Arabidopsis thaliana: one gene and its partners. The protein of the gene in region 3 interacts with the protein of the main gene of each other region in a pairwise test. Each region holds a gene or a part of one and is shown on either strand. Other genes may lie near its edges.

Region 1 (6,080 bases), on a different chromosome or scaffold from region 3:
CAATCTGACTCTCTCTCTATAGTCTATAATAGGTTAGTAACGATGTATAATTGACTCAAATATAAGACCGTGTCGGTAGGTGATTTGACTAAATCAATGTTCGCACAATTCTTTAATCCACAAGCAAACTTTTATAGCTTGTGACACTTACTTAATACGTTCAAATTGTAGTTCTATCTTAAAAATTTCATGAATACAAAAGTCACATAAATGAATAGAAAGGGAAAAAACTTGTATAACTATATTAACACGCTCATCTTAAAATTCGATAAAATAAAAAATTTAGCAAAGTAACTCAGAATTAAATTTATTAAATAAACATTAAAGTAAGAAATACTGTTATAAAACTATTCTCCTTATTTGGCACCACACGTTTTCAAGGTTCTAACATACAAAAGCATAATAAAACTATATGGGTTTATTGAAAAAATCTTTAAGCTCCATACTCCATGTTGAATTTCCGTAGACCCCTTTTGATGCTTCGTCTTTTTTCTTTATAGAATGTCGTTGTTGTCCCTTTGTGCCTTGATGCTTAACCATGCAACCGCGCAAGATATATATATATATATATATATCTTGCCTTCTAATTCTCTTTTCTTTTCTTTTTCTTCTAAATTTGGCCTTTTTAAATAAATCCACTTACCTACCTATGAATCCAGTATATCAACAAATCGTACGAAAATGTACCAATTAGAGATTTCAATATGATTGAAGTGCATGCAGCATGTGTATATGTTTTTATATAAAGCGAAAGAAATGCATGTGTATTTCAGTATTTGTTTAGTACAAACTACAAACTAAAAGTGAAACGAGCTAGGATACAACAAGATCTATATATGAATTTTTGAAATATTTCATGCATGCATACATTCTCCCAATATATAACGTCTAATTATTATAAAACTGTAATCAACGATGGTTTACATACTAATCATGAATTCAGTGAAAGCTTTATTAGAGAAGGAACATAGAATGATTAGTCCATGTTTGTGGAGAATGTATGTAGTATGCCTGATCATTTTCCTTGTACCTCTTCCAATAGAATGGTCCGATCCGACCCATTTACTAATCGTCATGCGGCCCATATTCATGAATGGTTATAATTTACAAGGGTCCAAGTCTCCAAGGCCAGCCACAGAAGTAGACAGACACTCTCAGAAGTCCAAGACGGACATAATTAAACAAACAATTCGATTCAACAGCCGGCCATAAATTTATGTTTGATTCAACCCATTTCGATTCTCATTACATTAATTAGCCAAGCATATGCTTTAGTAGTTTAGTCCCACTAAAATAGCCATAAGATTGGCGCGAACATTGTCATTCACAAAATACCTTAAAACACATAACACGTTCATTTTGGCCCCATTAGCACATGCTTCAACATGTAATCTCATCAAGAAATTCATGTTATCACTCAAGTTGAATGAACACTTAAAAAACCTTGTGACGACGTTATTACCAAAGCAATGGAGTTGTCACAGGCTTTCTCTACCCACGTGGAAGATAAAGACAGCTTTTGTAGTACTAGTATATTAAAAAGGACCCCACTCCAATCACAAACAGCACTGTTGTATTGTTTTTATCCGATCCCTAAAATAAAGATTCTTCTGACAAACCTATCTTCTTTAAGGGGTTATGAACTGATGATTCCCGGAGAGAGAGGGTTACCATCAATAGCCTGTTAACCGGAGAGAGGGGTTTTAGTGTTTTACCATAAATTTACAAGGGTGACCGTCAATAGCCGGTTTACCGGTTTACAACAACTGCCTCATCTCAAACCCGTTGTTATTTGTGTGGTCAATAAAAACTTTTTTAATTTATTTTAATTTACAAGAATGATTATAAAAAAAGGGGTTTCTGTTTCAATGGGGCTTTTCACGTCATCTTCCTTCTTTCTTTTCTAAAGACAACGACGGATTCTTACCGCAACACACACAAAAAAAAAATAACTCGAGAATTCTTCATTTCTTTTAAATCTTAGAATCTCGAGTTTTTGTATAAATCGATTCTAATTTTTCCTTTGTACATTGTTTTATATATACATAAAACACACAAATCGGGTATGGGGGAATTTGGGTTTTAAGATAGCGTGATCTGTAATAATAAGTGGTTCGCGATCGTGATCAAGAAACTGGTGGCTGATAGGTGAGTTTTTTCATCGCAATTGACTTGTTCACTTACCGATCTGTAAAATTCTTGGGGTTTTGGGTGGTTTTTGATCCTTTGACTCTGATCCGGTTTTCAAATTTCCATTAAATTTCTTTGGCGGGTCGAAATAATTTGTTCGAGATCTGATCAGGTTACTGTTTCTTTTCATCTTGTCTCGAATCTTATAATTGAATTTGTAAGCAGCTTCTAGCATTTGAGTCTTGTTCAATTTTACCAACGCTTTTCCATTTGCGTGATCCATTTCTTGTTTCAGTGTCTTTCTTACATCAAAGGCTCGGATTTGGTCGTGTTGATCTGATCTAAATTGGTGTTTACTGTTTATGATTCTTGTTGCTACTTTCTGATTCTTTACAGTGTTCTGTTCTGTTCTGTTTTGTTTTTGTGTTGCTAGTGATATGCATATTTGAGAGATGGTGTTCAAGAGAAAGTTAGATTGCCTTTCCGTGGGATTTGATTTTCCCAACATTCCCAGAGCTCCTCGTTCATGCAGGGTAAATTTTGATTCATCTGGATCTGTTAGCTCAATGTCATGAATTTGCCTTCTGATGAATCTTTTTTTCCAGAGGAAGGTTCTAAACAAGAGGATTGATCATGATGATGATAACACTCAGATCTGTGCAATTGACTTACTAGCTTTGGCTGGAAAGATTCTACAGGAAAGCGAGAGTTCCTCTGCGTCTTCTAATGCATTTGAAGAAATTAAGCAAGAGAAAGTAGAAAATTGCAAGACTATTAAATCTGAGTCTTCTGACCAAGGAAACTCTGTGTCAAAGCCTACTTATGATATCTCTACTGAGAAGTGTGTGGTGAACAGTTGTTTTTCATTTCCGGATAGTGACGGCGTTTTGGAGCGGACTCCGATGTCTGATTACAAGAAGATTCATGGTTTGATGGATGTAGGGTGTGAAAACAAGAATGTAAATAATGGGTTCGAGCAAGGAGAAGCAACCGATCGCGTGGGTGATGGAGGCTTAGTCACTGATACTTGCAACTTAGAGGATGCAACTGCGTTAGGTCTGCAGTTTCCGAAATCAGTCTGTGTGGGTGGTGATTTAAAATCACCATCCACCTTGGATATGACCCCTAATGGTTCCTATGCTAGACATGGGAACCATACTAACCTAGGTAGAAAAGATGATGATGAAAAATTCTATAGTTACCATAAACTTAGCAATAAATTTAAGTCGTATAGGTCTCCAACAATTCGAAGAATAAGAAAGTCCATGTCGTCCAAATACTGGAAACAAGTTCCAAAAGATTTTGGATACAGTAGAGCTGGTAAGTATAACACAGCCTGCTTCACTTATCTTTGAACACATTTCTTCTTTTTGTGATTCACCCTGTTCTTACTTTAAACATGGATGTCTAGATGTGGGTGTGAAGACTCTTTATCGCAAAAGAAAATCATGTTATGGTTACAACGCATGGCAGCGTGAGATCATTTATAAGAGAAGAAGATCACCTGACAGAAGCTCGGTCGTAACTTCTGATGGAGGACTCAGTAGTGGAAGTGTTTCCAAGTTACCCAAGAAGGGAGATACAGGTGGTTATTGTAGTCTATCTCAAAACTCTTCAGTTATCTTATCTTAGCTGTTGTGGTCCTCTCAAAAGGCTCCCATGGTACTTGACTGGATGGTAAATGATACTGAGACATTTATCCGGAGACAGGATAATGTGGTTCTCATGTATTTTTATCTCTGGTGCAGTAAAGCTAAGCATTAAGTCCTTTAGGATTCCAGAGCTTTTTATTGAAGTTCCAGAAACTGCAACAGTAGGATCACTAAAGGTATATGCCAATATGTATTTCTTCACATTTGTTTGGTTCTCTTGTGTGGACATTGAGGTGTTAACAAATTACCATTTTGCTCTTTGACCCTTTTGGTTGCAGAGGACTGTGATGGAGGCTGTCAGTGTTTTACTCAGCGGAGGAATACGTGTTGGGGTGTTAATGCATGGGAAGAAGGTTAGAGATGAAAGGAAAACTCTGTCCCAGACTGGGATCTCATGTGATGAAAATCTAGACAACCTTGGGTTCACCTTGGAGCCTAGTCCCAGCAAAGTTCCCCTACCTTTGTGTTCTGAAGATCCTGCTGTGCCAACCGACCCTACAAGTTTGTCTGAACGGTACTAAGAAATTCGCTATCATATCCTTGTGCTGCTTTAGTTGAATATCACTGGTGTTCATTCTTCTTGAAGATTCCTAAGCAAAAGCGGTTCTGAATTATCATCCCAGGTCTGCGGCGTCTCCTATGCTAGATTCTGGAATTCCACATGCAGATGACGTGATTGATTCAAGAAATATTGTGGACAGTAACCTCGAATTAGTTCCATATCAGGGTGACATATCTGTTGATGAACCTTCATCAGATTCAAAAGAGCTTGTCCCACTTCCAGAGTTGGAAGTCAAGGCGCTTGCCATAGTTCCGTTGAACCAGAAACCTAAGCGTACTGAGCTAGCCCAGAGGAGAACTAGGAGACCCTTCTCTGTGACAGAGGTAGAAGCTCTTGTACAAGCAGTTGAGGAACTCGGGACTGGAAGGTATATAACACTAGTTCTTTCATAACTCATGTAGTTTGGTCGTGGGATAATGTCAAAGCTCAAAAGCTAATGGTCGATATATCTGATCACACAGATGGCGTGATGTAAAATTGCGTGCTTTCGAGGATGCAGATCATCGGACTTACGTGGACTTGAAGGTAAACACATCAGACACAAACATGTAATCTGGAACATATCACGTCTTACAGTCAGGTTAATATCTCAAGAACATGTGAATATGCAGGACAAATGGAAGACGCTAGTTCACACAGCAAGTATATCCCCACAGCAACGAAGAGGAGAGCCGGTGCCACAAGAACTGCTAGACAGAGTCTTGAGGGCATACGGGTATTGGTCGCAGCACCAAGGAAAACATCAGGCGAGAGGAGCGTCCAAAGATCCAGACATGAACAGAGGTGGAGCTTTTGAATCAGGTGTTTCAGTGTAAAAAAGGAGGTACGCATTGGTGGGTGGGTGTACAGAAGCAAACAACACAATAAATGGACAACTCAATTTCTGCAAAGTTTAATTGTCTTTATTTCTCGTTTTTTTTTTTCTCCTACATACACTTTTTTTTTCCTTGCTTTGGCATCTGTAAATGACTCCAACTGGGATGAGATTCGTCCCTAACCAAATTTTTAGGTTCTATCTTTGTTTTTTCAACATTGATTACATTGTGTAATAATTTCGGTCCATAAAAAGGGATCTTGTAATTTTATACATTCTTTTATGTTCTATCCTTTCTGACAAGTGACAGGTCAAACCTTCTTCATTATTTCGTTCAATTTTTTTAATTTTTTTTCAATAAAACACATGAGAGATGAGAGTGATATTGTGACAGATATCTTTGACAAAATGTGAATAACCCAATTTGAAAGATAAGAAATACTGCTGCTCTGTGATTTTGGAATATTAGACACAGTTAAGTGTTTGTTATTGGTGGAAAGACTCTTAACTAAGCCAAAGTGTTCATTTCTTCACAAATTCATAAACTTCTCTAAGGTTTAGAATCATCTAACAATGTTTGTTACTTAGTTTCCTACAATGTTGAACCGTCAAGTGTAGAAACATAGTTTCAACTTCGAGTCCCAATGTGACGCCATCCTCCTCTAATTTACACCTACTTCGCAATTCTAAGACCCATATATTGCATCAAAGACGAGAGACAATTGTTGAACCTTGCATTTTGACATCCTTTACACGCTAAACTTATTTTCCATCTCCTGCAACTTGCAAAGTACAGACCTCAGATTAGCAAAATTCGAAAATACAACTATGTAAGCAAAGAGGCAAACTTCCAAAGAGCTGGGATTTTTGAGTGTACCGGGTAAATGCAAATATAAACCTTTATGACTTGAGATGCTTCGCT
Region 2 (5,873 bases), on a different chromosome or scaffold from region 3:
TGACAATACTAGGAACTAGCAAATGACAATTTTTAAAATACTGCACTTTTAAAGCAAAATAAGACAAAAGAAAAAATTGAGAGATCAGACGATGTGCTAAGCTTGGAAGTTTGGAACAAGACAATTTCGCTGTAGCAATATCATGAATTTCTTACATTAATTGCACCTTACTTTCGCTTCCCACTAAAAGATTGGACTAATCGTAGCTTCATGAACACATCCATTTTTTTTACTTTCGTAGCCACATAGCAAACGATGCTAGCAAAAAAGTTTACTCATCGATAGGTGTCGACTTTTGAGAAAGATATGAAATAATGAAAATGACAACTTCATTTATTTCTCTCGGTTGATCTATGAGATCCTAAAGTATCTCCCATCTTATTCTCTTTTCTTCTGTAAGTGTCCAAAAAAGTCTGTTTAGCCATTGAAAAAAGTCGCATAGCTATTACCACAAAAAGCCAAAGTGAATAATTATTGGTACGTATGTTATGTTTCCTTTTCTCCTTATCAACTCTACCTTTTCTTGTCAAGGAATCTTATCAGGATCTCAATTTTGCAAGGCACCAAAAGGAAGAAACCTCTTATTACAACCAAGCACTGTGACAATTACATAGGACTTCACATATCTTCATCTATATATCTTCTTCTTCTTCTTCTTCTTTACCACACAATCCATTCCTTTTTTTTTACATTGAATCTTCTCAAATACATGCATAAAACAGATAAACAAACAAACAAAAAAGTATATATGAACGAATAAATTCCAGGTTTATCCTGCTAACGTCCATTATCACGTTGCGAAGATAATATTTAATCCCGGCCTATAGACCAAGACTGGTCTCGAGCTGCTGGGGTCCCTCTAGTAACTGGTGTTTCCCCTGTTGCTGGGACCAGTAGGCATGAGCCGTTAGTACCCGGTCTAAGAGCTCCTGTGGAACTGGCTCACCTCTCCTTTGTTGCGGTGATATTCTTGCTGTGTGCACCAGCGTCTTCCATTTGTCCTAATCAATCCCAAAATTAGTTACTTCTTGCACAAGAAACATAGACCTCATTCACTGTAAGGAGAGAGTTTTATTTTACCTTCAAATCAACGTAAGTACGGTGCTTAGCATTATCAAAAGCTCGCAATTTTACGTCACGCCACCTGCAGATAGATATGCACAACAATCTTAGAACTATCTTGAACCAATTATTGATGGAAATTAAGTCTTATACTTTGGTGAACATAAAAAATTTAGTTACCTTCCGGTCCCAAGTCTCTCCACAGCTTGAACAAGGGCCTCTACTTCAGCAACAGAAAAAGGTCGACGGATCCTACGCTGTGCCACTTCAGATCGCTTGGTTTTCCGAGGTGGGACTACTGTCAACGCCTGAGCATGCAGAGGAGATACAGGAATCAAGGCTCTCGAGTAGATGGTTTTACCCCTATTTGGTGCAGAGGGTTTGGAGTCAAGGTCACTTTCTACAGAGTTACTCGGTTTAGCATGCTTCCCTGGTGATGGGAGACACCTAATGATGTCAAAAAAGTTTTGGAAAACATCAGAAACAGAGTTCTTCTCTACACTAAAGAAAGAAGCAGCATACATTGACCTCTGGATAGAGACTGACCTTGTTAGAGTGTGAGGTACATTACAGGGACGTGCAAAGTCAGAATCTTCAGGAGATAGTGGTTTTGTGGATTGTGGAGGATTTGGCTCAAGACAAAACCCTAAAGTGTCTGAAAGAGTGTCTAGAGAGAGTCCAGTCTGTAGAAGCATTTTACTGTCGTCTCTAACCTTTTTCCCATGAACCAGAACACCTATGCGTAATCCACCTCCAAGTATCGAGGTCACAGCTTCCAACACTGTCCTCTAGCGAGAAGAAGTAAAGTTTCATCAATCATTATCCATAAACATGAAGGAGATCCTTCCAGAAAATTATAAGCCGAAAAATCCTAACCTTTAGCGAACCGACAGTAGCTGTCTCTGGAATTTCAATGAAAAGTTCAGGGACTCTAAATGACTTGATTCCAAGTTTCACTAAGCACAACAAGAAAAAATGAACAGAATTAATACAAAAATCTGATTGGTAAAAATAACAAAAAACCTCAATAGAAATAGATACCGTTATTAGAATCTCTTGGTGATTGGAATGCTGCAGGCTGCTTCTGACAAGCTATGGATGATAGAAAAGCTGAAGCTGCCAAAAACAAAGTTCAAAGTTAATCACTATATCATCGTAAAGTGATTTTTGACGTTAAATGACTAGCTTCCGATAATATACCCTTTCGAGGTGAACCAGACTGGCCTTCATTTTTATTTGTTTCCTCGGATTGTGATGCTGTATAACCATCAAAGTATCTCCTTTTCTTTATTGGATAGTTCCTCTCTGATCTTAAGCTTTTAAGACAATGTTTCTTGCTATAGTAATCAGACTTCAAGTCCAAGTCTAAAACATTTTCAGACAAAGACACATAAATAAACCATAACATCTTGAAAAGTACATATGACTTGCTCACAAATGGTCCATAATGTTCACCTGAATTAGTTACTGTTGTATCTTTCAGCTTTGGAGGGACTTTACAATACTTGGAAGCCCAAACTTTCCTTATTCTTCTATCTCCAATACGCAGAGTTGACCTAAATGATTTTGTTCTGTAACAGGCTGAGAAGTTTTCGCCATCATCATTTTCCTTACCGTGTAAATCTACATCATCGGAGCATGTTGAAGGATTTTGGGGAATAGGTTTCCTGAATCCACTACCTATATGTTTCTCATCCTTACCTACAACATTCCTTGATAACTTTGCTTCAAAATTTAACCCTCCAAGCATTGATTTCTTATCATTAGACTCTGACCTATAGCAATCACCATTATTGATCTTGGATTCATCATACGCCAATTCTTGAGTTTCAAACTTCTCAGAGGAATCAGAAGTTATACCAGAAGAAGATCCAAAATGGAACTCTTTAAGGGGACTTGGAGATCTATTAAAGCTTTGCATTTCATGAGATTTTTGAAGAATCTCAGAGACAAAGAAACTCCGTTCAGCATTATTATTATCATGATCAGAATTTGTAGTCTCTTCTTCCACCATTATATCGCCGCCGTTAAGCGGCTCTTTCTTAACTGCACACTGATCTTCATTATTACCAGAGGTATTGTTACTTGAGGAAGAAGAATTCCCACCTTCAAGCAGCAGTTTTCCAGCTACTGCAGCCAACAAATCGAAAGACGATATTTGATGGTTTTCGCTTTTCTTCTTGAAAGCACTCTTCTAGCAAAACACAAAACACAAACATATATATCAGAAGGGAACATTAGAACATATATAAAACTGATAAGAAACACACAAAAAAGTTAAGAATTGTATTTACTCTTGGTGATCTGGCAGCTCGAGGTGTGTGAGGCACCTCATAGCCATTGAATCCATAATCGGGCCTCTTTTGCAACACCATGATTTGAAGAACATTTCAATCATTCAACAAAACGAAGGCATTCTCACGGATTACAAGATCCCTGGAGAAAAACAATTAGGTTACTGAGTCCAACAATGTATTAGCATTTATCTATAAAATTTCTTACGTTGCAAGAAAATCTCACATACTGTATATGTGATAGCAGATTATTTCCAATTTCAGACATCATTTTTTGTAAAACCCTAGCTAGAATCCAAGTTATTGAAATTTCCACGATCTAAAGCCTCATTTGATTAATGACCGTAGAGTGAAAACAGAGCATGAATTTACCAAGAAAAATAATGAACAATTCTGGTCTTGTAATATTTTCATGAAAAACAAACACGGTTCAGCTTCTGTGAGAAACCAAATTACAACATCAAAAAACCCTCAAGCTAGAAAACTATAAACATAAAAAACCGCAATTCAAATTGCAGATCCAAAAAAACTTCAAAAATAATCTCACCTTTTCTTCTGAAACAAGGTGAGATCAGAATGTTTATGATCTTATTTTCTCATCAACCCACACAAAGCAAAAAAGTTTCTGTCTTATTATTTATTTTTTGTTGTGGGAAATCGAAAAACCCCTTAATGTGGGAAAAAAGCACGGAAGGAGACAAGGGCTTAAACCCCTGGTCTTATACGAGAGTAGTAACACAGAGGACGTGTCTGAAAAAAGAAGAAGAGCGAATAACCGGCTATAACCAGTAAACCCCACCCTGAAGACCTGTTCTTCTTCTCCCTTCTTGGGTCACCACCACTGTCTCACGTACTTCCCCCTGATTCGGCCACGTGTTGTCTCTGTCGGATCGTCCGGCTTTTTTTACAACACACAAACTTCGACAATAACGTTGAGTCACACATGCCATGTAATGTTTTTTTTTTCCTTTCAGTCCAAGCCATGTCATTCTCCTGTTTATTTTATTTTGTCTTTTTCAGTTTTTCTTCTTCTATTTTATTTTATAATAACAAATTTGTTTTCATTGAGAACCCTATCTATTTTCTGATGCAAAATACTTTAACCTAAACCTAATTAACCTAACCGATCGATCAATTCGGTTTGCAGCTATCAACCGATCGGCAATGCTTCAAATATACTTTGGCATCACTGAACCGAACGGTTCTTCAGTTCTTTCCCAACCTGCCGAGAATCCGAATTGAATAGTCCTTCTAAATGCTGGAAACTTTGAACGGAACGATGGATCTGAGAGTAAATACCGAAGTGAAGCTCGTCTTCTTCTTCTTCTTCTCTGTCGGTAGCATCGAAATCGCGAAGGACAAAGAACACGTGTTTCAAGAAGATGAAATTAGGATTTCTTCTTGGGCTTACAAAGTTCCTACAGCCCAAAAAATAACATTTCTACACCACAGCCTACACTTTCGGCCCACAAAATAAAAACCCAGTGAATTTCCAAGCCCACCGAAAAAACCGAACCGCATAAACAGATTCTTTAAACCGAATAAAATCACAAATATCTGTATGAGTGGATATTCTTCTTGTATAATTAAAAGAGTACTTTCAACTTTCGATAGCACAAGAAGAAGCTATTAAGTATCAACACGTTCAACATACAGACTTAACACCCAAATTGTGCAATAGACGCTTCATAATACAAATTATACAGACTGATCATTATACACCCAACCATGAGAATAATGACTAACGTGCCTTTGGGTTTATTTCGGTGTCTACAACTATGCTCAGTTCCAGAGGACTGCTTAAGTCCACCTCTTGGCTTTTTCTCCACTTTTCACATGTTTCCAAACATTCGTTTAGCACATGAACGACCTGAGACATGTTTGGTCTCTCTTTGGAAGTACGGTTCACACATGACATTGCCAATTCAACAACTTTCCATGCAGAACTTGTGTCATAATCTTGATGGAGGTTTGGATCCACTATACTTTCAATATCACCATTTTCGAGTATAAAACTGGTCCATTCCACTATGTTACAATTTTCACGGGATAAATCAATCACATCTTGGCCGCTGATGATTTCCAGTAAGACAACCCCAAAGCTATATACATCACTCTTCATGCTTAACAAGCTGGTTTTGTGGTACCTATAACAAAAGATTTTAAAGATATGGTTCACTTTTTTTTTCAGAAAGCAAGAAAATCGATCGAAGACATGCATGTTTAAATGTACAATGTGATATAAATCCTCCACTACTTACTCCGGATCAAGATATCCAAATGTTCCAGCAACAACCGTAGGTTGAGCTTCATTTCCTATTAGGAAGGATCTTGAGAGTCCGAAATCAGCAATTTTGGCCTCAAATTCTTCACTCAACAATATATTAGTACTTTTGACATCTCTATGAACGATTTTTGGCTTGCATCCAGTATGCAAATACTCAATTCCTACCATATGTTAAACCTCGTATGTTAACTAATTATCATAAATATGGAGTTTAAGAGAGAATTTATATA
Region 3 (5,393 bases):
CTGAGAAAGTGACGAAAGCGAAGAAGGTTTCGGAAGTAAATATGTCTTCCTTGGGGAGCAGCAAATCCCTGAGGGATGAGATGGAGGTAACAACCGCCGATGTTTTTCCGGAGGTTAACGCCGCCGCTGTGACGGAAAATCTTGATCGGAACGAGCTTGTGCTTGCTGACGGAGTCGTGTCGGCTGAGGAAAGGAATATTGAGCCAGACAATCGTGGAGAGAGGAAGATAGAGAGCGAGTCGCCTCCAGAGGATGATGTTTGCCCGATCTGTTTCGGCTCCTTTACGGTTCCGTGTCGTGGAAATTGTGGTCATTGGTATTGCGGTTAGTCTTTTCATCTTTCTTCTTCTTCTTGATTCTCTTGAGCCATTTCATCTACATTGAAGTATCAAGCTTGTGTCTTTTTGGGATATTTCTGTTCGTCAGAGGTAAATTTGGAGAATTGTTTGGGTTGGAATTGGTTTAGGGTTCCTTTTGGTAGCCAAGAATGATTTATCACAACTGATTAACTTTTGAAAGTGTTGATTTTTAAACCATGCTCTGTTACTATGGAGTGTTGTTTGCAATGTCATAAAAAGATCTGAAAGTTTCTTAAACCGGTTGCTGATTTTGTTACAGGAAATTGCATCTTGCAGTACTGGAACTATGCTGCAATATCTAGGCCTTGCAAGTGTCCCATGTGTGTTAGGCACATCACGAAGCTGTCACCAGAACCATCTTTGCAAGAGCGTCAGGAGCAAGAGGTGAAGGAGGTTCTTGATAAAGTCCGTAGGTATAACCGTCTCTTTGTTGGAGGTCTAACTGGCTTTGTTCAGGTACGGTCTTTTTGATTCATGATTTTGTTTTGCTTCTCTTTACTGTTTCATGCATTTCTTATCTATGTATATACTTATTTCTCCTTTTTATGACTTGGCAAAACCACCATCTTTCGAATAATTCAGAAGGTGCATGAGCTTCCGTTTCTAGTGAAGAGAATGGTGTGGCATATGATGGATACAGATGTGAACAATCTGTATTTTCACGAAGTGCGCATCTTTGCAGTTAAGAACATCTTACCCTGAAATTTACATTTCATAGTTTAGTGTTTAGTTATATCTCTACCCACTTATTCTTGTTGTCATTTGTTGTCTGTACTAATGGCCAAGCAAGACAATCTTTGTAATCATCATAGGAGCAACTAGTTTGTATTTATTCTTGTTTTTAAAGGCCATTGAAAGATGAGAAACTAAGTTTCTGTCGGTGTTTGCAGATGTTCATGAGTACCCTTTACACTGCCGCAGAGTTTAACTTCATTCCAACGGGTAAGTTGCCTCACAAATCAAAAACCAGCAATGAAGGGTTAAACAATCTCAATGTGGTGTGTTTAAGGCTTTTAAGCTTTCCAAGATTGATTTTGCCCTCTTTTGTACAGGCGGGTTCAGAATAGTGACAGTTTTTGACTACGCTGCGATTGCTATGATCCTGATTCTACGCTTAGTAGGGATATATCGGAGGAGACGCCTAGCTCAGCAGGTTAGACATCTAGCAGCTGCAGCAATTGAGCCGGAATTAGAGCAAAGGGAATTGTAACAGACACGTGAATCTATTAAGTCTTGTGCAGTTTGATCCTTGTGGATAAGTTTGGTAGTAGATCATAGAAACCTCGAGAGTCGTGTGCAGTTTTACAGACAATGATATTGCAGACTTTAAAAGTATATACATATCTCCTTTTCTAACAGTGGAAATAAAATATTGATTGGAAAAGATCTCTCTGGAAAAGGATCTTAATCTTTGATTAGATGATCAAAGGGTTGAACAAATGTTCGAAGAGTAGAAGTGGATATTCTAAAAGACGAGTGATGAGTGATTTAAAGATTCAAAAATTTCATAATTATCTGAAATAAAATGATGGTAGAAGAAAGAAACAGTGCCTGTGGTCTCGAAACAGTGAAACGACATCGTTTTAATTTCAAAAAGACACCGTTTCTGTTTTAATTAATTGCTTTCAAATCAGTAGAAGAAGAAACATCGATTGAGCTTTCTACTTGAAAACCATCTTTTCCGATCTATCGAATCGGAGCGGCGAAGGAAGGAGAATGGGTGTCCGTACAATATCTCAGGAGGCATTCGACGATCTGGTTAGGGAAAATGTTGAAGATCTTGGTATGGATCCCTCCGAAGCTCTCGAAGACGCTCTCTACACTCTCAAGCTCCAAGGCGTCGATCTCTTTGGTCCGTTTACATTCTCTCCTCTCTTTTTACTTTCTCCAGAAATTGGCCTTCCTCTCGAACTGGCGTTAGTTCAATTTGTGTGTTTGTTTATGGTACAGGGATCATTACATGTGTTCCTGGAGAAAGTAGCGTTAAGGACAATCCGGTGATTGCTTGTTTAGATAGACTAAAAGAATTCGACAGTGTTTCAATAGACGGACCTCTTCGAGATGAGGTTTTCGATGAGATATCGAGTTTGTTCAAGAATCTCAATGAGCTTTGTAGCAGCCAAGAATCAGGGAACGCTGCAATTGCGACAAAACATGGTGCTGTGGATTTAACTTGCTCGATTTGTTCCAAAATCAAGATATCTACTAGAAGTAATCGTGTTCTTGTTCCTTGCTTTAAGGCTTTGGCTGTGTTGATCCGTGGTATGACTTCTGTTCTTGAATTAGTCGTTCTTGTGTGTTTTAACTTTGATTTGTGTTGATCATGTGTTATTCAATTGCAGACATTCAGAGCACAGAGAGATTCAGGAATTGTACTGGACCAAATATCGTTGTTGATCTCTTAAATGATTCCAGCTCCGATTCTGATTTGTTAGATGCTGGTTTTGCGGTTGTTGCTGCTGCAGCAACTGGTAATGAAGTTGTGAAACAGTTATTCATGGAACTGAAAATCGATGAACTTATTCTGCAAGTGTTGAATAGAGAGAGTAAAACTACCATTAGAGCTCTGTACGATGCTATTTGTGCTCTTTTGACTCCAGATGACTTCCGTGTTGTTGCTTCCCAAGTAAGTATGGTTACATTCGTTTGGTATATGCCACTTTTGACTGCGGGAATGAAATTAAGGGAAAACAGCTATATAGCACTTAGCAAACATTTATAATCGTTGTTTTTTGTGCTTATTCATGGACATGCTTTGAGAATTCAAATCCACTAGACTTTTGCTTCCATGTGTTTCAGGTTTATGGTTATGCACGAACTTTTGCCAAATTAGGGATTGCGACAGCCCTCACTGAAGCATTACAGGCAGGGATTGGCTCTGATAGTTTGGTGTCAGCAAGTACTGCGTTAAAAGCAATTGCTGTCAATGTAAGTCTCCTAGTTGAAATCTCTGTGTGATAACATTTATCTGGTTAGGTTCTTGCAAGTTCTTCATCTGGTTTTGCTGTAAACAGGATGAAATATGTAAATCTATTGCTGAATCCGGTGGAATAGATACACTTCTTCGGTGTATTGATGATAGCGGTGAGCAAGGCAACAAAACTGCTGCTAAGACATGTTGTTCCCTGTTGTCTAAGGTGAGTAGCTTCTAATATGCCCTGCAGGCTGCCTCTGTTGTCTTCATTGCCTTTGGTTATTCAAAATCCTTCTTTAAAACTCAGGCTTTCAAGTATTTTCCGCACCATATTAAGGAGTAGCTTATGTTCATGTGCTTCTAATAAATGCATGTTCTCAAATTTTAAGCTTTTCCAAAGCCTATTACTGATTTAGATTAGCATTGTAACCACGCATGATAAATGTTTATCTAAAATTTGTATTTTGATCTCTAGTTGGCAGGAAGTGACTCTAACAAGAGTACCATAGTTGAGAAGCAAGGTCTGGACAAGCTAATCACACTCGCACTACGATTCTCTGATGATCCTCTAGTCATACAAGAGGTAAGTATATAAACCAAACGAAAACCCTCTTATGACACTATGTCCCATGCGCAATTTTAAATCTTCCTGTCTAGAGAAGATACTTGTGACTACAGGTCACGTCTTTGGCAGTTTTCCACTAGATAGAACGTAATGTCGTGTGAAGAATGTTTCTTGTAGCATTAGGGTCTGAGTGCATAATCCTTGTGGTTGATCCAAGATATACTTGATTGGTTCAGGTGATGTTGATAATCTCTATAATCTGTCTGAGATCACCAGACCACGCAGCCAAGGCTATAGAAGCTGGAGCTGGTGATCTAGCGGTCCAAGCAATGAAGAGGTTCCCAGTAGCTGCTCAAATGCAGAGAAACGCTTGCAACATGATACGGAACATTGCTGTCAGAAGTGCAGAGAACAGGTTTTTGCTCTGTTTCCAATTCTTGTCATCCAACAATATGCACATATCGCAAACTCTTTTATAATATCAAGTTCTGTCTGCATGCACACTACAGAACTATTCTGCTTGCTAATGGAATCGAGAAGCTGATAAGAACTGCTAAAGCCAACAATGAGACATGCAGAGCCGCTGCAACTGATGCACTGAGAGACCTTGGCCTTGATAACTACAATAACTAAGGTCAATCTTTCTCCATTGGTTGGTACTCGCAACAACCGGAATGAATCCAGTTTTTTTTTTCAAAAATTTCATAAACAGTTTGCATTGAGTTCTCTCTTTTGGGTAGAAGGCATTCCGATCTAGTCTTTTTTGCAACGATTGCTTTTGTTCGAATGCTTGAACATGTAGTAAAATTGAAAGGAATTGATTGAAAATTTCGGTGAAAGGTACTCTAAATAGTAAAAAAGTAAATAGAGAAACAGAGGCTTCACAATGAGAAATTTTCATTCATTCACTAAAATCATTCGTTTAGTCAATGAATTTCCTTTATTTAGAAGAAATCGATTTTAGTTTGAAACAAGGACAAAATGTTTGTTTGACTAAAGGGAAGAGAAACAAAGACAAAATGTTCACGTCCATGGAATGATCGAGCTCTAGAAGAGTGTATTGGGAATATTAAGTACGGATATATGTTTTTAAAAGATGATTAAAAAAAAAGTTTGCAGCAAAATCGTCATGTGGATGCGCATAAACAAAAACTTTAGATAGTAAAAATGATGGGCTATAGTGATGATGAGTGCAACTCTATCGGTTTCAGCTTTTAGGTGAAGATCTGACAAGCTAGCCAACAATATCTCGACATTTGTGGTAACTTGTTTTTCTTTTATTTTCCGTTTTTAAATGCGGAAACCCTTTTTATATACCGAAATAGAAAGTAAATCTTTTTAGTGGTCATTAATACATGGAGGTTCCCATGATTAGCCATAAGCTTGTTTAATGCGAGTATATGTTTCATCAGCTCCGTTTCAGGACATATTTAAGGGGCAAAATTAATCCAGTAGCCAAAAATGTACATATGTAAGGGACATATTACGATATTAATATATAGATCCACTAACAGAAAAACTAATTGTTAATTTAAATTATTTCTATTTCATTTTT
Region 4 (6,069 bases), on a different chromosome or scaffold from region 3:
CATGGAACCTTTTTCGTAACCCACACGAGTTTGGTTTCTATTTTAGACAATTTCGTATATATATATATTTTTTTTTCATAATAATATTTGGCCAAGATATTAAATCCATTCCAATACTAAAAATATCAAGAAATTTCGGATAACAACAAAAATCCAAATTATAATCCTAGTATTGGATTTCCGATTGATGCCCAGTTTAGATGAGAACCAATAAGAAGAAGTAATTCAAATTATTGTATTTATCCTCACAATCGTGAAATCATTATTTAAAATGGACGGGCCAATAGATTTCCATCGATCATGATAAAGCGTTTAATTATTTCAACTTTTATCCTAAAAAAAAACAATAGAAATATTTTATTTCATCTTATCCTTTCTAAGGTGGGTGGTTTTGAAATGTTATCACACACACATCACTGTTCTACGAAAATAATATATAATATATTTATTGAGTTTTACAAATATGTATATCTATATAATATATTGTTTGTTTATTATTATTTACAATTGTAACAAACAAAAAATATCTTATCATCTATAATATATAATTTATTAAATTATAATTCTATAGTATCAGTAGCTAGACAAGAGAACAACATTCGTGCTATATGAAATCATTAGAAAATACACATAGCATTTTGTTCCTAAAATAATTAAACATGTAATCAAAATTTAAATAGTTGTTTGGATTTATGTTTTCAAAGTGAAAATAGACCAATTAACATTCAAAAGCTGGTTGATGCTATTTTTAACGTATACTTAACATTAAAATATTTGTTTTAGTTTTGCCACTCTCGATAATTATCCCTGTCATAGGATGAGGCCCACCTGTTAGGTACATGGGCCCACTGGGACCCAAGATTTCTTATCTCCGAACTTAACGCCGTTTACACATTTCCTTCCAATATACACACACCGAACTAGATGCCGTCAATCCAACGCCGTTTATGGTTTATCCTCCCCTAGACGTTAAGATTTTGACGGTTTGTTTTTATTATCCTACAAAACATAACTGAAAAAGTGTAAAACAGAGACTCATTTGACGTTAGATTCTGCAAGTATCTCTACCGTCCGATTGGAGCAAGTGATCAGAAATATTATTACTAATCAAAAATTGATGAACATGATTTTGAGGGCAATTTTCCTTAAGTAAAAAAATCATAAAGAGACGATAATGATGTACAAAATTATCTAAAACTGAGTATAATTATATAAGCTATAGATTAAGGTATTAAGAAAAGAAAAAAAAAGGTAGATCCACCTGCCACGTGACAGAATGTCGTATAGTTATAGTTTACAGATTATCTCCACTAACCTAAATATTAATTTATATATATAGAATCCATGACTATAGTCTATAGTTGAACTTTTAGATTTAATACTATGAAACCAAACTCAACTCTTTTAAATACTTGAAAATAGATAATTTTAAAATTAATGAGTAAAGATATATTCTTGGTAAAAAAATTAGTGTGTAATTATAACATTCCATATAAAAAATCTTAGATTTCTTCAAAGATAAGAACTAGGAAAATCAAAGTAATTTTTGTAAATTGTTTACTAAAACTGAATAAGAAAATGAAAGTTGCATATATTTTTTTCAAGAATCTGCAAGTAAATAAAGTGTAACTTTAATGAGATGTAATTTTGGTTTGACATGGAATATTCTGATTGGGTAGATTCAGGAGTCATGTGATGATACATCTATGCCACGTGGTAAGATCTGAGGGATTACAAGCAATGTAAAAGCGTGGCGAAGAACCTGGTCTAAAAAGATGAAGGTGTCGACCGATAATAGCCGGTGAAGAGAAAGAGTATAACCGGTAGGACCGGTGGGGAAAAGGTCAATATAGGCTTAAAAAGGGTTTAAGCAAAAAATGTGGTCGTCTTTCTTAAGGGTTTTTGTTTTTGTGGCGTTTCACAGAGAGAGAAAGAAATAGGAGATTGTTTTTGCTTGTGGTGAGAGAAGATCGCATCGTGTGGGTAGCGTTTCAAACAAGTAAAATAATAAAAAGAATAAAAAGTTTCCGTCACTTTCTCGAGGAAGAAGGGGTTTTGGTGTGAGTCCTTTCTTTGCGTTTGTCTTTTCATTTTCCGATCTCGTAATTGTCGTGTTATTCGCCGGAAAAGTTAAAGATTCAGATTTAAAGGTGAGAGATTTTACAGTCATTTTTTTTTTAGTCATCCTGATTCTGTCTTTGAATTTCATAAAACCAAGGAGATTTTCGTTACCTTGGTCTGAAAATCTCTGGGTAAATCCCAATTTTACGTTTTTTTAAAAAAAATTCGTCGATTTTTATCTTTCATCGCTTTATTCTTCGATCTGTAAAATCCGATCTGAGATTTAGAACCCTTTTGAACACCCGTGATCTGGTGGTCCTTTGATCTTGAGATCGAAGTTTTTCGTCCATACGATTATTTTCTTAAATTTTTTTTTATGGTTTAGGGTTTTCCTGTGGTGAAATATTTGGAACGACGGTTTGACTCTCAATTTCAGATCTCAAAGTTGTTTAGGGTTTTAGGGTGGTTTAAGCTTTTTTCAATGGGCTTTGACCCAAAACCTTCAAAATCATTCCTTTTTTTGCTTCATGCATTATTTCCAGAGACAAAACCCTTTTATTCTGTTTTTTTTTTTAAATTTAAAACCATTGGCTATTTTATCTCGTTTTCTTTTGATTTCAATGTCTCTTTCTAATTTGATTTCTCAATTTTATCTACAGGTTGGGAATTACATTCACAGAATTTCGTTGATTGGTGTGATAATAAGCCATTGATCAACAATCTTCTTTTGTGGCAATCACATAATCGTGTTATGCATTCTGAGAAATGGTGTCGCATAAGTGTGTAGAAGAATTTGGATACGCAAGCTACCTGGTACCTTCCAATGCAAGAGCACCCAGATCCGCCCGGGTAATGGCCTTATCACTCATGCGTTTTTTTTAGTTGTATGGAGTTCATTATCAGTTTATATGATTACTTACGTTTGGTTTCATCTTTTGGCCAGAAGAGGCGCAGTATCGAGAAGAGGATAAGTAAAGAAGATGATAATATGTGTGCAATTGATCTATTGGCCACCGTAGCTGGACACTTGTCATTTGAGAGTGGGAGTTCTCTCATGTCTATTGACAAACTGATTGAAGATCATCGTGTAAAGGAGGAATTCCCGGAGGAAGAAAAACCTCTAATGCCAGTAGCTTTATCCCCTTATCGGGGATCTTTGAGTCCCTGCGGATTCAGTTCTGTGATAAATGGCAAAGTAGAGAATGAGGTAGATGGTTTTAGTTACTCTGGTGGTAGTGATGCTTGTCAAGTCGGGAACTTCAGTCAAGATGTAAAACCGGATATCGATGGTGATGCAGTAGTTCTGGATGCGAGACCTAATGTTGTAGTTAGTTTAGGTAGTAGTAGTAGAACCGAAGTGCCATCAATTGGGAACTGTGTTTCCCATGGCGTTCGGGATGATGTAAATTTGTTTAGTAGAGATGATGATGAAAACTTTTCCAAGTACATTCACCCGCGTGTTACAAAACATTCACCTAGGACTGTACCTCGTATTGGGGACAGAAGAATCAGGAAGATATTGGCTTCTAGACATTGGAAAGGAGGTTCAAGGCATTCAGGTAGTAGCCTGCCTAAGGGGTTCTTATCTGTTTCATATCTTAAATACATTTGATGGGTTTTGTTTTAATGACATGTATTTGGTGTTGCAGATACGAAACCGTGGAGAAATTATTACTTGCACCAGCAGAGGAGCTATCCTATCAAGAAAAGGAAAAACTTTGACCACATATCTGATTCCGTTACTGATGATTACCGTATGCGTACTAAGATGCATAGAGGTAAAGAGACTTTTTACGCCTAAACCTCTGTTAGATCTTGTAGCTAGCTTTCTCTTTGTTGTTTTAACTAGATCTTGTAAATTTAATTTGCAGGTAGTAGAAAAGGTCAAGGGGCATCCTTTGTGGCAAGCGACTCCCATGGTAACAATGGAGTCTCATCTGAATTCTTTGTCGGTGTTATTTACTTACAAAAGCGGAGAAGCTAACATGAGAATGTTTATTTCAGTGAAACTACGGATCAAGTCGTTCAGGGTGCCTGAGCTTTTCATAGAGATTCCAGAAACTGCTACTGTTGGCTCATTGAAGGTAACATTACACAGCTCTTCCTTTCGCCTCCTATTAAGAAAGTAAGTTCTTATGGTCCTTTGGCTTCTGCAGAGAATGGTGATGGAAGCAGTGAGCACTTTACTGAGTGATGGACACCGAGTTGGTCTGATGGTTCAGGGGAAGAAAGTCCGTGACGATAACAAAACCCTTCATCAGACTGGTATCTCTCAGGATAACTCCCACCTGGACTCTCTTGATTTTAGCCTTGAACCCAGCTCAGAAATGCCTCAACTGTTAACTAGGTTCAGACTTCTATTCACCACTTAAAACCCGCCACTGTGTTTAATTATTCAAATCTTTTGTGGCTTAATTTCTTATTTGTTTTCCAGTCACCCGTTGGGACATGCTTGTGAGGAGCTGCTACCTGTGTGCCAAGCTACTAAAATAGACAATGTGTTGGAATCTGACCATCATGACTCAGCATTATTCCCATCTGACTCATTAGGCAACAATAATGTGACAGAAGATTCTAAAGCTATGATTTCTGTGGCGCTCAACGAATTGTCTTCTCAATCACAACCACCTTCCCGGAAATCTAGAAGAAGTGAACAGCAGCAGCAGCAGGCTGCACAACGCAGAATTCGTCGACCTTTCTCAGTTGCTGAAGTAGAAGCACTTGTTCAAGCAGTTGAGAAACTCGGTACTGGAAGGTAAAAAAACACTAATACAAGTCATATAGTGTTGGCTTATTTGTGATTGTGAATAGAAGAAGATGATGATTAAAGTTTGGTGAAAACTGTAGGTGGAGAGATGTTAAGCTTTGTGCTTTCGAGGATGCTGACCACCGCACTTACGTAGATCTCAAGGTTTGCATTTTAATCAGTAGTTTAAATTCTAAATTCGGTGAAACCAAATCGCATGATTAGGTCTGAGAAATAACTGTTTGGTATTTGTGCAGGATAAATGGAAAACGCTGGTCCACACGGCTAAGATATCTCCACAACAGAGGAGAGGAGAGCCAGTGCCGCAGGAACTTCTAAACCGAGTCTTGAACGCCCATGGCTACTGGACGCAGCAACAGATGCAGCAGCTGCAGCAGAATGTGAACAAGCTGGAGCAGGAGACACAGTCTCAAACGACAGAGGGTCTGTTACTTCTCTAAATGAATCTGCTGCAGCCTTGGAGGTCGTCTCTCCTTTGTGTATTACTACTACTATTGATGATTATGTAAGATTCTGACATAGATGCAAAGATTTGGTCTTTTACTTTGGTTTGATTTTTTTAACTTTTCTCAATGTAAAGTTTTTAACTGGAATAAGGTTTCTCTGACCAGTTTAGGGCTTTTAGAGGATCTGTTGTACATCTTTTGTGACATTCTCATTCTCTTTACATATTTCTTATCTAGACTTTTTAAAAATTCCTCGTGTGTATAATTATTTGATGTGCTACTTGTCTGATTCCACGAGTTCGAGTTTTGTCGTGTGATTGAATTCGAATTGTCACTTACCAACGTCGTTAATACACTAACACTATGATTGGTCTGATCGCTGGATCGGTGAACCAATTGGAAAATCCAGTTCAAGTTGTTTTAGCAAAAACCAATCTCTTCTCTGAACCGGAAAACTGTAAACCGGTCAGTACTTGATCCATAAGAAACCCTCCGAGTGATTTGAAGGGTTTGAGCTGTGTTGAAAATGGTTCGTCGGCTCTCTCTAAACCCCTCTTTTTGTCGACTGCTTCTTCACGCCGTCGAGGAATTCTTCTCCACCAACGAATCCGGCGACGTCTTATCACCACCTTGTCGAATCTTTAGTTGATGTTGTTTAAAGGTGAGTCCAAATTCCACGCGCCGCCTTGACTTTCATGAATGTGTGTTTTGATACATTTCCTACATATTCCGATGTTTTCTAGCTAGATCTCCAACGATTTTCTGATTGAATTTAGGGTTGGTTACATGATGATC

What was found.
Region 1: the proteins of AT4G33945 (region 3) and TRFL9 interact in a protein complementation assay, tested with the Arabidopsis thaliana proteins (one study listed by BioGRID).
Region 2: the proteins of AT4G33945 (region 3) and TRFL2 interact in a two-hybrid assay, tested with the Arabidopsis thaliana proteins (one study listed by BioGRID).
Region 4: the proteins of AT4G33945 (region 3) and TRP1 interact in a two-hybrid assay, tested with the Arabidopsis thaliana proteins (one study listed by BioGRID).

The regions. Positions count from the first base shown.
Region 1 is NC_003074.8:3,981,351-3,987,430, reverse strand, and holds TRFL9 (TRF-like 9), read left to right. Parts: upstream 1-1,805; 5' UTR 1,806-2,148; intron 2,149-2,526; exon of another isoform or gene 2,527-2,563; 5' UTR 2,564-2,582; coding exon 2,583-2,663; intron 2,664-2,735; coding exon 2,736-3,450; intron 3,451-3,541; coding exon 3,542-3,715; intron 3,716-3,878; coding exon 3,879-3,958; intron 3,959-4,060; coding exon 4,061-4,296; intron 4,297-4,405; coding exon 4,406-4,711; intron 4,712-4,805; coding exon 4,806-4,869; intron 4,870-4,955; coding exon 4,956-5,159; 3' UTR 5,160-5,551; downstream 5,552-6,080. Other genes in the region: FDM3 (XH/XS domain-containing protein), read right to left, coding at 6,059-6,080. UniProt on the Arabidopsis thaliana protein: Binds specifically to the plant telomeric double-stranded DNA sequences. At least 2 repeats of telomeric sequences are required for binding. Induces DNA bending.
Region 2 is NC_003070.9:2,317,612-2,323,484, forward strand, and holds TRFL2 (TRF-like 2), read right to left. Parts: upstream 4,054-5,873; 5' UTR 3,904-4,053; exon of another isoform or gene 3,771-3,903; intron 3,499-3,770; 5' UTR 3,438-3,498; coding exon 3,357-3,437; intron 3,257-3,356; coding exon 2,518-3,256; intron 2,428-2,517; coding exon 2,263-2,427; intron 2,179-2,262; coding exon 2,104-2,178; intron 2,019-2,103; coding exon 1,939-2,018; intron 1,851-1,938; coding exon 1,609-1,850; intron 1,510-1,608; coding exon 1,243-1,509; intron 1,145-1,242; coding exon 1,081-1,144; intron 1,002-1,080; coding exon 822-1,001; 3' UTR 532-821; downstream 1-531. Other genes in the region: AT1G07550 (Leucine-rich repeat protein kinase family protein), read right to left, coding at 5,098-5,503, 5,618-5,804. UniProt on the Arabidopsis thaliana protein: Binds specifically to the plant telomeric double-stranded DNA sequences. At least 6 repeats of telomeric sequences are required for binding.
Region 3 is NC_003075.7:16,266,044-16,271,436, forward strand, and holds AT4G33945 (ARM repeat superfamily protein), read left to right. Parts: upstream 1-1,840; 5' UTR 1,841-2,075; coding exon 2,076-2,211; intron 2,212-2,309; coding exon 2,310-2,621; intron 2,622-2,701; coding exon 2,702-2,985; intron 2,986-3,158; coding exon 3,159-3,287; intron 3,288-3,373; coding exon 3,374-3,496; intron 3,497-3,748; coding exon 3,749-3,856; intron 3,857-4,074; coding exon 4,075-4,253; intron 4,254-4,347; coding exon 4,348-4,471; 3' UTR 4,472-4,882; downstream 4,883-5,393. Other genes in the region: AT4G33940 (RING/U-box superfamily protein), read left to right, coding at 42-324, 619-815, 942-1,040, 1,250-1,301, 1,412-1,569.
Region 4 is NC_003076.8:23,965,428-23,971,496, forward strand, and holds TRP1 (telomeric repeat binding protein 1), read left to right. Parts: upstream 1-1,789; 5' UTR 1,790-2,150; intron 2,151-2,183; exon of another isoform or gene 2,184-2,252; intron 2,253-2,447; exon of another isoform or gene 2,448-2,720; 5' UTR 2,721-2,826; coding exon 2,827-2,910; intron 2,911-3,004; coding exon 3,005-3,620; intron 3,621-3,710; coding exon 3,711-3,839; intron 3,840-3,932; coding exon 3,933-3,980; intron 3,981-4,065; coding exon 4,066-4,145; intron 4,146-4,217; coding exon 4,218-4,408; intron 4,409-4,495; coding exon 4,496-4,816; intron 4,817-4,908; coding exon 4,909-4,972; intron 4,973-5,064; coding exon 5,065-5,268; 3' UTR 5,269-5,283; coding exon of another isoform or gene 5,284-5,326; 3' UTR 5,327-5,569; downstream 5,570-6,069. Other genes in the region: ZEU1 (P-loop containing nucleoside triphosphate hydrolases superfamily protein), read left to right, coding at 5,970-5,975. UniProt on the Arabidopsis thaliana protein: Binds specifically to the plant telomeric double-stranded DNA sequences 5'-GGTTTAG-3'. At least 4 repeats of telomeric sequences are required for binding. Induces DNA bending.